3 linked regions of the Oreochromis niloticus genome follow. The protein of the gene in region 3 interacts with the protein of the main gene of each other region in a pairwise test. Links are inferred from orthologs where the notes say so. Each region holds a gene or a part of one and is shown on either strand. Other genes may lie near its edges. The genes, in order: ubtd2; wdfy3; nuclear factor 7, brain.

Evidence for each region.
Region 1: the proteins of nuclear factor 7, brain (region 3) and ubtd2 interact in a two-hybrid assay, tested with the Homo sapiens proteins (2 studies listed by BioGRID and IntAct). The link is inferred for Oreochromis niloticus from reciprocal best matches to the Homo sapiens genes TRIM39 and UBTD2.
Region 2: the proteins of nuclear factor 7, brain (region 3) and wdfy3 interact in binary tests that used the Homo sapiens proteins (3 or more experiments, as listed by UniProt). The two-hybrid records come from large-scale screens. The link is inferred for Oreochromis niloticus from reciprocal best matches to the Homo sapiens genes TRIM39 and WDFY3.

Annotation. Positions count from the first base shown.
Region 1 is NC_031975.2:18,858,032-18,861,786, reverse strand, and holds the start of ubtd2 (ubiquitin domain-containing protein 2), read left to right. Parts: upstream 1-988; 5' UTR 989-1,072; coding exon 1,073-1,355; intron 1,356-3,755.
Region 2 is NC_031977.2:34,658,007-34,661,761, forward strand, and holds the start of wdfy3 (WD repeat and FYVE domain-containing protein 3), read right to left. Parts: upstream 2,665-3,755; 5' UTR 2,390-2,664; coding exon 2,361-2,389; intron 1-2,360. UniProt on the Homo sapiens protein: Required for selective macroautophagy (aggrephagy). Acts as an adapter protein by linking specific proteins destined for degradation to the core autophagic machinery members, such as the ATG5-ATG12-ATG16L E3-like ligase, SQSTM1 and LC3.
Region 3 is NC_031966.2:22,736,392-22,740,146, reverse strand, and holds the start of nuclear factor 7, brain, read left to right. Parts: upstream 1-776; 5' UTR 777-963; coding exon 964-1,488; intron 1,489-2,229; coding exon 2,230-2,325; intron 2,326-3,755.

The sequences.
Region 1 (3,755 bases), on a different chromosome or scaffold from region 3:
TTTCCTGACAAGGACCAACCTTTGAAGAACGCTCCAAAAATTTTCAATAGGGTGGTGGTCGGGGCTTTAGGAAGGCCATTCTAAAAACTTCATGTTAGCCTGTTTTATCCACTCCAGAACTAGCTTTGGTGTGTTTGGGCTCATTGCCCCGTTGGAACAACCACGTTTTACCCTTCTAGCTGCTGATGTGAGGCGAAGTGGACGAATTTGGAAGTGGTCCTCCTTTTTCATTATTCCATCCACTTTATGCAATGTACCAATACCGCTGACAGCAAAACAGCCAAAGAGCATGATGCTACCACCCCCATGCTTGACACCTGGTAGAGTGTTGTTAGGTTTGAAAGCCTCACCTTTACTCCTGTGGTACTTCTGTACCAAATTCCTATTTGGAAAAAGAATTGATCAAAGTAACATCATTACCATGATGAGTGTATACAAACTTCTGACTGCAACTGTAACTGCTTTCATTATGCTCTGTAGGGTAAAATCCAGTTTGTGTACAACTTAATAAATTTAAACTGTGTGTCTAAAACACCAAACTAGTTTCACTAATGAAAGCCTCCCATGCAGGAAGGAGAGCAGAGTAGAGTAAAAACCACGCAACACAAAATCAACAATATTTTGTGCATTAAAACTAAAAAATTAATTGAATAATAAAATTAAATAGAGTGGAAATTAGAACATAATAGGCAGCACAGCTACTACAGTCTGCCAGCTGAATGAATGAGAACATAATAAATAATAATAATAGAGGGTGAACATTTTGATGTGTCTTCATCTGTGCAGCAAACATGAACATGAACATGACATCAGATGTGTCAAAATGCATTAACATCACTAGAGCAGAAGGTCCAAAGCAAACATTTCATACCCTAAAGATTATCTTTATCTTTTGTTTTGTTTTGCACAGTGCACTTCTCCTTTGTTCTCTCTCTATGTCTCTTCCTCCTTCGGCCCCTCTCTTTCTCTCCTTCATTCCTACCTCGGTCACCTTGCACCGATGTGAACCTCTCTCAGACCTTCTTGCGCCGCCGAAAAACACGAAGAAGATAATGCCTGCTGAGCTCAGTCTATGCTGAGAGAAGGAGGGGAGGGGAAGGAGGAAGCGAGGAGAAAGGGAAAGACGGGAGGAAACGAGGAGGAAGGAGAGGACAGGAGGGAGGAAGGGAGAAAAGGAGGGGAAGGGGGAAGAGAGAGAGAAAAACGAGAGAGGGGTAGTGGATGTAGCTGTAGCTGTGGGCCGGGGGGTGAGCTACCTAGCCCGGGCTGCTCTGCTGAAACATCCATGGGTGGCTGTGTCGGGAGCCACCACGACTCTTCGGGCAGCTTAAACGAGAACTCGGACGGCACTGGAGGTAACTTGCGGGGCTTGTCGACGTCTTTTATTGGCCACAAGCTTGCATTTCTTTTTTCCTTTTTTTTTTATGAAGGGCTTCCTCCAGGCTCCCTGCATGTTGTCCTGACTGGAGGTCTTCTTCCCTTCCTTTTAATATCCGAGCCAGACAGAGCCGAAGACAGACAGCAGTCCTGCCGGGTGTCTCCCTCCATGCACCTGGCCTTAAAACGGCAAACGACGCCTCGTCTGCTCTGTACTTTACAAAGTGGGAAACATTGACTGTGCCAGGCTGCCTCCCTTTGTTCTTTGGTGTTGACTAAGCTAGCCGGCTAAAACGTAGCTAGTTAGCTTGCTAGCTTTCTGCATAACAAATATGGGTCACAGGCAGCAATGGTATGCAAGGGGAGCGCTCAGGCGTGATTCAGTGTGATTTCAGATTTGAATTATGCCCAGACTCTCTGCACAACTTGAAGTTACTGACAGCTCGAGTAGGGGTGCACATATGGCAGCTGCTGATCTTATCTTATATATTTATTATTATTATTATTATTATTATTGATTGTTTTCGTTGTGAACGAGGTGTCGGGTCATGCTGTGTCCTGAAAAGTGGTCGGAAGAGTGGAGGAGGTGTCAAAACTGTAGCTTTATGACTAAAAGCGAAACTTATCGTGTGAGCAAAAAGTTATATATCGGACAAAACTGCAAGGTAAAGGTTAGTTTTATTTACCGAGCAATAAATGGAGTTGCATGCAGTCGCAAAGCATAGTAGGGATGACAGCTCAAGCAGTGAGAAATTGAGTGCGACACTGTGTATGAATGCATGCTGTAGTACATATTCCCTTTATTAGATAGTTTACATTGGTGATTTGGGTAGGGTGCACAGTGAAAGAAGGGTGCTTTGTCAACTATAAAAGCTCTGGGTGGGGTTTAAGGGGAATTATTGCGTTTAAATGGTGTGAATCTTTAAAAAAAAAAAAAGAAAGATATGGGGGGGGGGGGGAAGAGGCCCTTCTTGTCGTTTGAGGTTGTACACAACTTCCTTAGTGTTGTTTCCTGGTTTGTCTGATCTGAAAATGAGTTCTGCTCACAGCCAGTGAGTTATTTTAATTACAGAGCGGTAAATACAGTTGGTCATGGGGGGGCGGGGTGGAGACTGAACACTTAGAGATGCTGAGATAAAACTTGGTTTCCTTTATTCATTCCCTCGTTGCCTCTGCTTCTGTCTTTGTCAGTTCCTCAGGCTTCCTCCCTGACTAGATGTTGCGTATAAACAGCAGCGGTATCTGTAAAATGTGGAGGATCAAGAGACGCTGCAGCATTAAACGGATGCAGACAAGCAAGCAGGAACGACACAGTTCAGTTCAACATAGGCACATTTATTTGTCACTAAATCAGATCTCGTAGGCAGGTTTACATTGCAGAAATTTTTATGTTAAATTGTTGTGCATACCGGCCTACATAAATCCTTACTGAATGACACCCAAGTAGGTTACTGTTTAAAGATATACGTGAATTATTGGCTTACAGACGATGTGGAAAGCAGGCTAATGAAGACATATGGAGAGAGTCATGCAGACAAGTTCATAACATGAGAGCATATCCACAGGAATTCAGGCATGCACTGCTGGAAAATGATTACAACTAAATGACGCACTAAAATGCTTTTATGTTCCTGATGTTACTGATTGTTTGGTACTTTTGCTAATGTTTTGTATAATCACATAAAATTGTTTAAAGAGCCTGTCCAATGAAAGTTGGCGCAGTTATATTTTCCTCTAAAGATAAATCAGGAAGAAAATAAGCAATTCAACTTCATAGTTGAGCATTTCCGCCTTGGAGCTGCTTTGTACCTGTGTTGGGTCTGGCGCCCCTCTAAGAAATTATAGCTAGAGCCAAAGAAGAATCCTGACTATTGTAATATATAGTACTTAAGCTCTTAGAGAGTCTTAAGCCACTTTTAACAAAAAAAGAAAAGATTTTCTCAGGAATTGCATACATCTTTCTTTGTTAACCTATTAGCCAGAAATCAGATAAACGTAAGTAACACATAAAAGTAACCCAGTCTTCTTGGGTTACTTTCAGAAACGGTACACCCTTTCTGAGCTGGGATAAATATTCATATCTAACGAGCATAAGGAAGTGGAGCTAATTTCTTAGAGTTGGTGAACAGAAACACATTGTTGATTATATATTCTGTGTCTGCTCGGGTCCAAGTGACATAAATTTCATCATCAGATTGTGAGCGCATGTCCATGCCTGTTTTTTTTATAACGCTGTAGACTTGACTGCAGAGAATTTGCATTGCAATGCACCAACAAAGCATGAGCAGGCAGGCAGGCAGTGAACTTAAAGCAGGAATGACTTGTCAGGCTGTCAGATCTCCATCTGTCCATATTTGCAATCAGGTATAAGCATTTGA
Region 2 (3,755 bases), on a different chromosome or scaffold from region 3:
CAGTTTCTAAGTAGTGCAACATGTTTTTGTCACCAAGTCAATGTTGCCTGTCTTGTAACATGAGACAGAGGAGCAGGAAATGATCTCATGCTGAACATGTCTGGTCACGACCAGAGTTAACTGCATCTAAAATGGGCATCTATTTAGTCCTGCACTAAACAACGCCTGGATAGTTGTCATCACAGACTAATATCACATAATTAGTCTTACAGTTCTACTTGTGCCTCGTCTGCCGGTTGATTTGAAAGCAGAGCGGCTGTCGTGTATCCTTGACAAAAAAATACTGATTTATTTCTCAAAAATGTGAGCGCTGCACTTTCATGTGCTCAAAGAGTGCCAATACATTTCAGTAGTGTGTTAGCTGGATCGCTGAATGGTATCCATGACAACTAGCAGGCCTCACACAAATTGCTGCCTGTCAATTATATAATTACACAATATTAGGTACAGGAGGGTGACTTTTGTAGTCAATTAAATTTTAAATATCAATGGTAAAACATATAGATGTATGGTAACATTTTGATACAACTTCCATATATTTGAAGCATGAACAACAATGCATTATAATCTCCATTTACAATTATAATGACAATCAACGATAGCCCCAGAGTAAACCTTTCACAACATCTTTGCAAGTTTATTTTCATCTTCAAATAGCACCACTACAGTTTTTCACAAAGGGCAACATGATAACTTCTCTTTTTCCCCCTTTTATCTTATCACAGTTGCCCAAATTTTCAGCTTTGATTTTGCATAAGCCATTCCTACTCAGTTATGTTTAGTAAGAGAAAGAATAGACTATAAAATGTGAGTTTTAAATAGCTTTAAACATTTCATGTAAATATATTCAAACTACACATAATCTTAAAAACAAGCCAAAAATATGCAGTGTGCAGACTAGGGTTGGGTAAGTGGAAGAATATACTCATTAACTCTCAGGGGATTTTTTCATATGCATTACACTTTGTTGGTGGTCTATATTCTTGTGTATTCAAAGCAAGGAGCAATAGAAAATCATGGTTGGATGTGTGCACTCTTATGTCTACTTTATTTGAAATAGTGCCACAAGAAGGTGCCGCCTTCATTTTGGTTGTGTTGAGCTTGAGTCGAGTTGTACACAGAGACTTGCAGAGATTCTCATCATGTATTGGTAGCAAATGTAGGGCCATAGAGACTGAGTACTAATATAATAACAGTGCAAATATAAAATGTATAAAGAAGGAATTAGCTTTAAGTCTTGTATATTTACACATTCGAGATTGTTAGCTCAAAACCAACAACATTTTGAGCTACCAAGCTATAAAGGACCACTAGCTGCACTACCTTAATTATTTAATAGCATATGTTATCCCTGTGTGTTTGTTTAATCAGAGGTTATAAGGTATCCTTCATATGACTGCTAAGTATAATGGGTACACACACAAATCACTGGTTGTTGGCCTGACATTGAATTAGATTTTTTAAAATGACCAACCTTAATTTCTGCTTCCTGAAGCCTAACTTTGATGTCTAATATCATTCTTACTGACTTATAAACAGCTTTGGTTTCCGACCATTATTAAAACAAGATAACCGGGATAATTATCAAGCTATATTCGATTTTGTCAATCAGCAACCAACTCTACTTATGCTGCTATACAATAATCCAAATACGCTCTCCAACAGTCTGTGGCATATTTAACTTGGTTTGTATTTCTTTTGTTCTTTCCTTCAGCTTAATTACAATTTCAAGTCCACAGTAAAAAAGTCCATTTGTTTTTCCCACATTGGATAAATCTATTTGCTCCCAAGTCTACAAATAATCGTGTTATGCAAGATCCCAATAATGTCCAGAATTATTGTGATTATATTTTCTGAGACTGTAGGTTGTAAGTAGGTTAAATGTCATCCATGTTATTTTATTAATTTAAAGTGTAACAATTATTGAAGGCTACCCTCTTCTTATAGTGTTGAGCATTTGTGATGTTTTTGTTTAAACTTTAAAATTATTAACACTCTTGAGAAGAACATCTTCTATCTAATGACATCTTTAGGCATTTTACACGTATCTTTTGCTAAGTCACACATTTGCTTCGTTTGGGTTTGGCCGATGATTGCTTTAACCACATCGGGATATATTCTTACAATAAAGATGCAACAGTAGGAGATGCTGTAACTGCTCGATGGTGACAATCTCTGGAATCGAAGCTTAATCGTCAATCGACGTGAAACGGTCGCTGACACCGAGAGGCAGTTATTTTAGATCAATAACATCAATAAACATACTATATCCACCAAGGTCAGGCTTTTACCAGTGAACAGTAAACAAACCCCTGGTCGCTGCGGAAACGAGCTCGGCACCCAGCTCTGATTTTCCCTACCTGCTATTCTCTCTGCGCTCCGCCAGCATCTCAACTCATCAACAGAAGAAGAGACAAGAATATTCCACCATAAGCCAAAGACCAGCCGCTCTTCCTCCCAACAACAGTGTCTTCCTGAAACAGAGAGGCGATGGCAATGGTGTCATGCCTTCCCCTCACAGCAGCGTAAGGAAAGGAGAGGAGAGGAGAAGCGCGGAGGCATGGCTCGCCTTTATTGGCAGTACCAGTGGCTTTGTTCGCCAGTCAGCATACTGTGTGTGTATGTATGTATGTATGTGTGTGTGGTCTGCCGGGACTGGCACAGCTGATCCCCCCCTGACACCGGGTGGGGTGTACAGGGCTTTGGTGGAAGAGGAGGGGAGGAAAGGAGGGCGGGCTTTGGCCTCAACGACGACAGGAACATACCATTACCACAAGAAAAGGGGAGGAGGAGTGGGAGGCAGAACTCACAGCAGTGAGCATCATTAAAAATTCATTTTCTGGCCATTTCGGTCGCCATCCTGTACATCCAAGCTCAGACAGCTCACATTAACTTTGCATTATTATGTGGTGTGCTTTCGGGGACAAGTACAGGGAATGACAAAAGCATTCTCAATTAATCTACATGTGTCACACTAAAGCATTTGTAGAAGGCAACTGAAATATTAATACCTGATAACATTTTTCATTTAAAAGCCAAAAATGTACCTTATCATAAATTCTTTGAAAGCAATCACTGAGCTTCTGTAATGTTCTTAAAAACAGAAAAGGGCTAAAATGAATAAAAACTGACTGCTATTTTAATAATTTAGTGGTTAATAGGAATGTGTGTGACTAGATGTTTAAACAATGCTTTCCTCACTAGTCAGCACTGGAAATCCCACATACATACTGTAAGGAGACTGGGCAGTCAAAGTTCCCTGAACATAAATCTATGCAGGAATAATGTAATGATAAAGATGTTGGTTACCCCATTTCTGACCCCAAAGAGCCCCCCAACAACAAAACATCAAACATGTTAGCCAACAGTGTTGTTGTTGTTGAGGGCCTTGGTATTTCTCAAGCTTCTTGTGTTCCTTCTTCCTGATGTTGCTATCACTTGGTATAGCTACATGTATCACTACGGCCTTCTGCCTCTGCTTTTCCACCACTACTATGTCCGGTTGGTTAGCCATCACCAGTTTGTCCATCTGTGTATGGAATCCCCACACAATCTAGATTTGGTTATTCTTCACCACCCAAGGAAGTGTCTCTCATTTTGACTTTGGGACTTCCAGTCCACACTTGGCACGATGTTCCAGTACGCTATGCTGGCCACTTGGTTATGGCGTTCATGCATCCCTGCTTGCTAGCATCTTGCACCCTGTTGTTAGGTGCTGGATTGTCTCAGGGGCATCTTTGCACGTGATGTCTTGC
Region 3 (3,755 bases):
GCCTGTAAATGCTTTCAATTCTGTCTGAGATGGGTGTTGTTCCAACTGTTGTTCCATCTTTCTGTATGTTTCCATGTTTAATGTCTTTACTTATATTTATAAATAGACTGTGATCAACAGGATTTAAGAAGAGATTATACATAAAATATAGAAATTAGTAAAAGTATTTCTGCGTTATTGTAGCTACATTGTAATGAATCCAGCCCCTTTTGGCCACTTAAAACATCTTTATAGAGCTGTGATGTCATAATTGTTGCAATTTATGCTGCCTTCTTGGCAAGATCTTTAAAAAACACTACATTTTTAATGTCAGTGAGACTTTTTTGCTGGATAAATAAAGAACAAATAAAAGTAACTCTGCCAAAGATTAATTGCAGATTGTGACAGGAATGTCGTTTCTGTCTCAAAATGACTTGATATCCTCAGAGAGAGATAGGTTTGTATGAGTTTATAGGCCAACAACTTATTCAGAGCTGTTTAAATCGTTTTTTGCGATCGTTTTTTGGCAAATACGGGAAATCACTTTTGGGTTTGTGTCTTTTACCTACTACACAGAAGTTTCAGCTCACACGTTTCTGATTTATTTCCTGTAAGTGTTTAATAATTTAAAACTTATAAACCAACAAGTCAGCCAATTTGTTCCTGGTACAACCCCCTTTTAAAAATTCCGCATATATTTCCTCGCAGCAATAACGTGACCTTTCTTGTTACTGTTCTTTCTAAGAAACCCTCTTTCGCTCTGGGCAATCATAAACACACCGCGCCCTTTAATGGAGCCCTTCATCACGCCCAGTCGAGCCTGTTTCTACACGCCTTTGGCCTCTTCCGTGAAAAAAAGTCGTACTGCTGTCAGCGTCAGACCACTCCCTCCCTGAATTTGAACGGAAGAGCAGTTTAGTCTTGTTTCCCCGTTACAGTGTTTCCCACAGACGTGTCTTCTGAGAAGTATGAGCGTAGCAGAGGATGGCGGAGGCCAGCGCGCTTGAAGAGCTACAGTCGGAGCTCACCTGCCCGGTGTGTTTGGAACTCTTCCGTGATCCCGTGATCCTTGAGTGCGGGCACCACTTCTGCCAGGTGTGCATCATCCAGTGCTGGGAAGCTAAGGCGGACGAACTCTCGAGTTGCCCGAAGTGTAGAAAGTCGTGCGCCCGGAAACTGCGACCCAACTCGCTCCTGTGCAACGTCGTGGATAGTGTGCGCAGAGCCCGCGCCATGGACGCGGCCTCGGGGATGTGCGTGTGGGACCACGAAGGTACACTGGAGATGCCCGAGGACCGCGAGCGGGGTTCGAGCATGAGCAGCGTGGCCTCGTCCATCGGGCACTGGCCACGCCTGGGAATGGGTTTGGATATGTGCGAGGAACACGAGGAGAAGCTGAAGCTCTACTGTGAGGACGACCAGCTTCCCATCTGCCTAGTGTGCGGAATGTCTCGAGACCACAAGAGCCACAATGTCATCCCCATTACAGAGGCTTTTGAAAACTACAGGGTACTGTTTTATTATTGGCTCATTTTTTAAGGCTCCGGGTCTTCCAAAACCTTAAATCAGACATATACAGACAATGTTTTGATTTGACCAACATAATCACCAAATTTGATTTCTTTTTCCACTGTATTTTTTCTGCTCTACAGTGTAACAGCTGGAGCTTCTAGATAAAACAAGGAATCAGAGTTTCAAGGAGTGTCATACTTTACAATGCTTACAACTGGACACTCCTCTTATTGTACTGCAGTACTGTATTCCCTCTCAAGTTTCAAGTATTCCTTTAAGTCATGTCAAAACTACTTTTTTACTAAAAAAACCCCTCAACTGCTCTAATGTAGCAAACAGGCTTTTCATAGATGTAGCAGTTGTGCTTTAAAGAGCACACTCCCTGTCTGCCCCAGGAGTCTTTGGGTATTTTTGTGCATTACAGGAATTCAGCAGACCTGTGTGAACTTCACTACCTTTCAAACCTGGCAGCTGACCTTCATCATGTTGTTTGGAAACCTGCTCTGAGAGGCTTCTCTGTGTGTCTTAACATGTTTAAGCAGTGCTAAATTCCAGCTTTGTTAGATTTTTGGGGTCAGGGCGCTCAGTTGAGGATTGGCGGATGTATGACTCCCATTAAAGACGGGACGCTGTTCAGACTGATGCACGAATCAAATTAACTGTTGATTGAAGCGTAATCTGGTTTATATAACCTCTTTTCAACAAACGTTTTTATGTGATTATCTGTTTGTCCTGCAGGAAAAGCTGTCTGTGGCTCTGGAGAGGGTTCAGGTGCAGACAGAGGAGGCCACACTCTTCCAAAAACAGACCAATGAAAAGATCCTCCTCATTAAGGTATCGTGTCTCTGTGTGTGCTGGCTGTTTCTTTGTGAAGCACTGTGAAAGAAAAACACGCCAGTGTGTTTGTCCTCTAAATATAACCAGAAATTCTAGCGGCCAGGCAACATTCTGACGCATTCCTCCACCTTTACCTGTCAAGACAGAGGGATGACTGGCAGTAGTAATGACTGGTGGTACTAACGACTGGTGGTGACACACCATGTTCTTACTCATCTTTGTTTAGACGTGATAATTATCAGGAGCTCATCCTGGAATAAAAAGGGAGGTTCATGAACATTCACACACGTCATTTTGTGTTTGTCTTCGTCATGCGCTCTTCTTTCACATGTTTTTGCCATTCATGTGCCCTAACTGCTTCATGTCACACAGCTTGCGAGGGAACTCAGCTGATAGAGTTTCGACAGGCACAGGAAGGAGTTCACCGAAACACTCGCTGTGTGTGTTAAACACAGATATGAGGGTAGTGTTAGAGAATGCACTGGAGCATTTCTGCAGTGGCAGATAACTTCGTCTAGCTCTGCTCCAGGTTATTACAGACTGTTTCCTTTACTATCTGTGTGTTTAAATGTGTCAGCGGGTGTATTTTCCTGTCTGTCTGTTTGACCCAGTTTACATGCAGATTCACAGATTTTTTTTTCTTCACTTCTCCCTTTCTCTGTCAGTATGACAGGATGTGGTAGAGCAGAGGAAGTTTGTCACTTTTTCTTCTCTGTGTTAAAAATGCAGACATACCTCTATCTATCTATCTATCTATCTATCTATCTATCTATCTATCTATCTATCTATCTATCTATCTATCTATCTATCTATCTATCTATCTATCGATCGATATAATCATTTGTGCCACATGACATAAAATGTATCGTCTCCTCATAACAATTACTGATTTTTCCCATTTCATGAACCACTTCTGGTCTGAACAGTCACAGTGTAAAGTTGTTGATTTAATCTATTGAATATAAGATTGTAGTCATATTTCCAGAGAAGAAGAAAAAATATAATTTTATGCAACAATAACAGTAAAATAGGACACATCCAGTTTTAGTGTCACACCATTACAGTCAATGAGAAGTAAGTGTGTCATCATTTTCACTGACATGCAACAGTTTAAAAAATATATATATTTATTAAATAGTAATAACTCTGTAATAATAAAACCCTATTAAAACAAAAACATGTAACAAAAATTTCAAATGTGACAAAATAAAACTGAACCCCACCGTTTGTCACAGCATAGCTCGGTATTTTTCCACCCCAGGAAGAGCTTAAAAAGACTCAGAGATCGTTATCATACAAACTCTAAAGCAGTTAAGCATTTTGAAGACAGACTTGGTTTCTGTCAGCTTTAAGGGGCATTTTAGAGTCTTGCTATTGCTTTAAAAAAGAAAAACGTTTTACAAATCAGCTGTGCTTTACCTACTAAG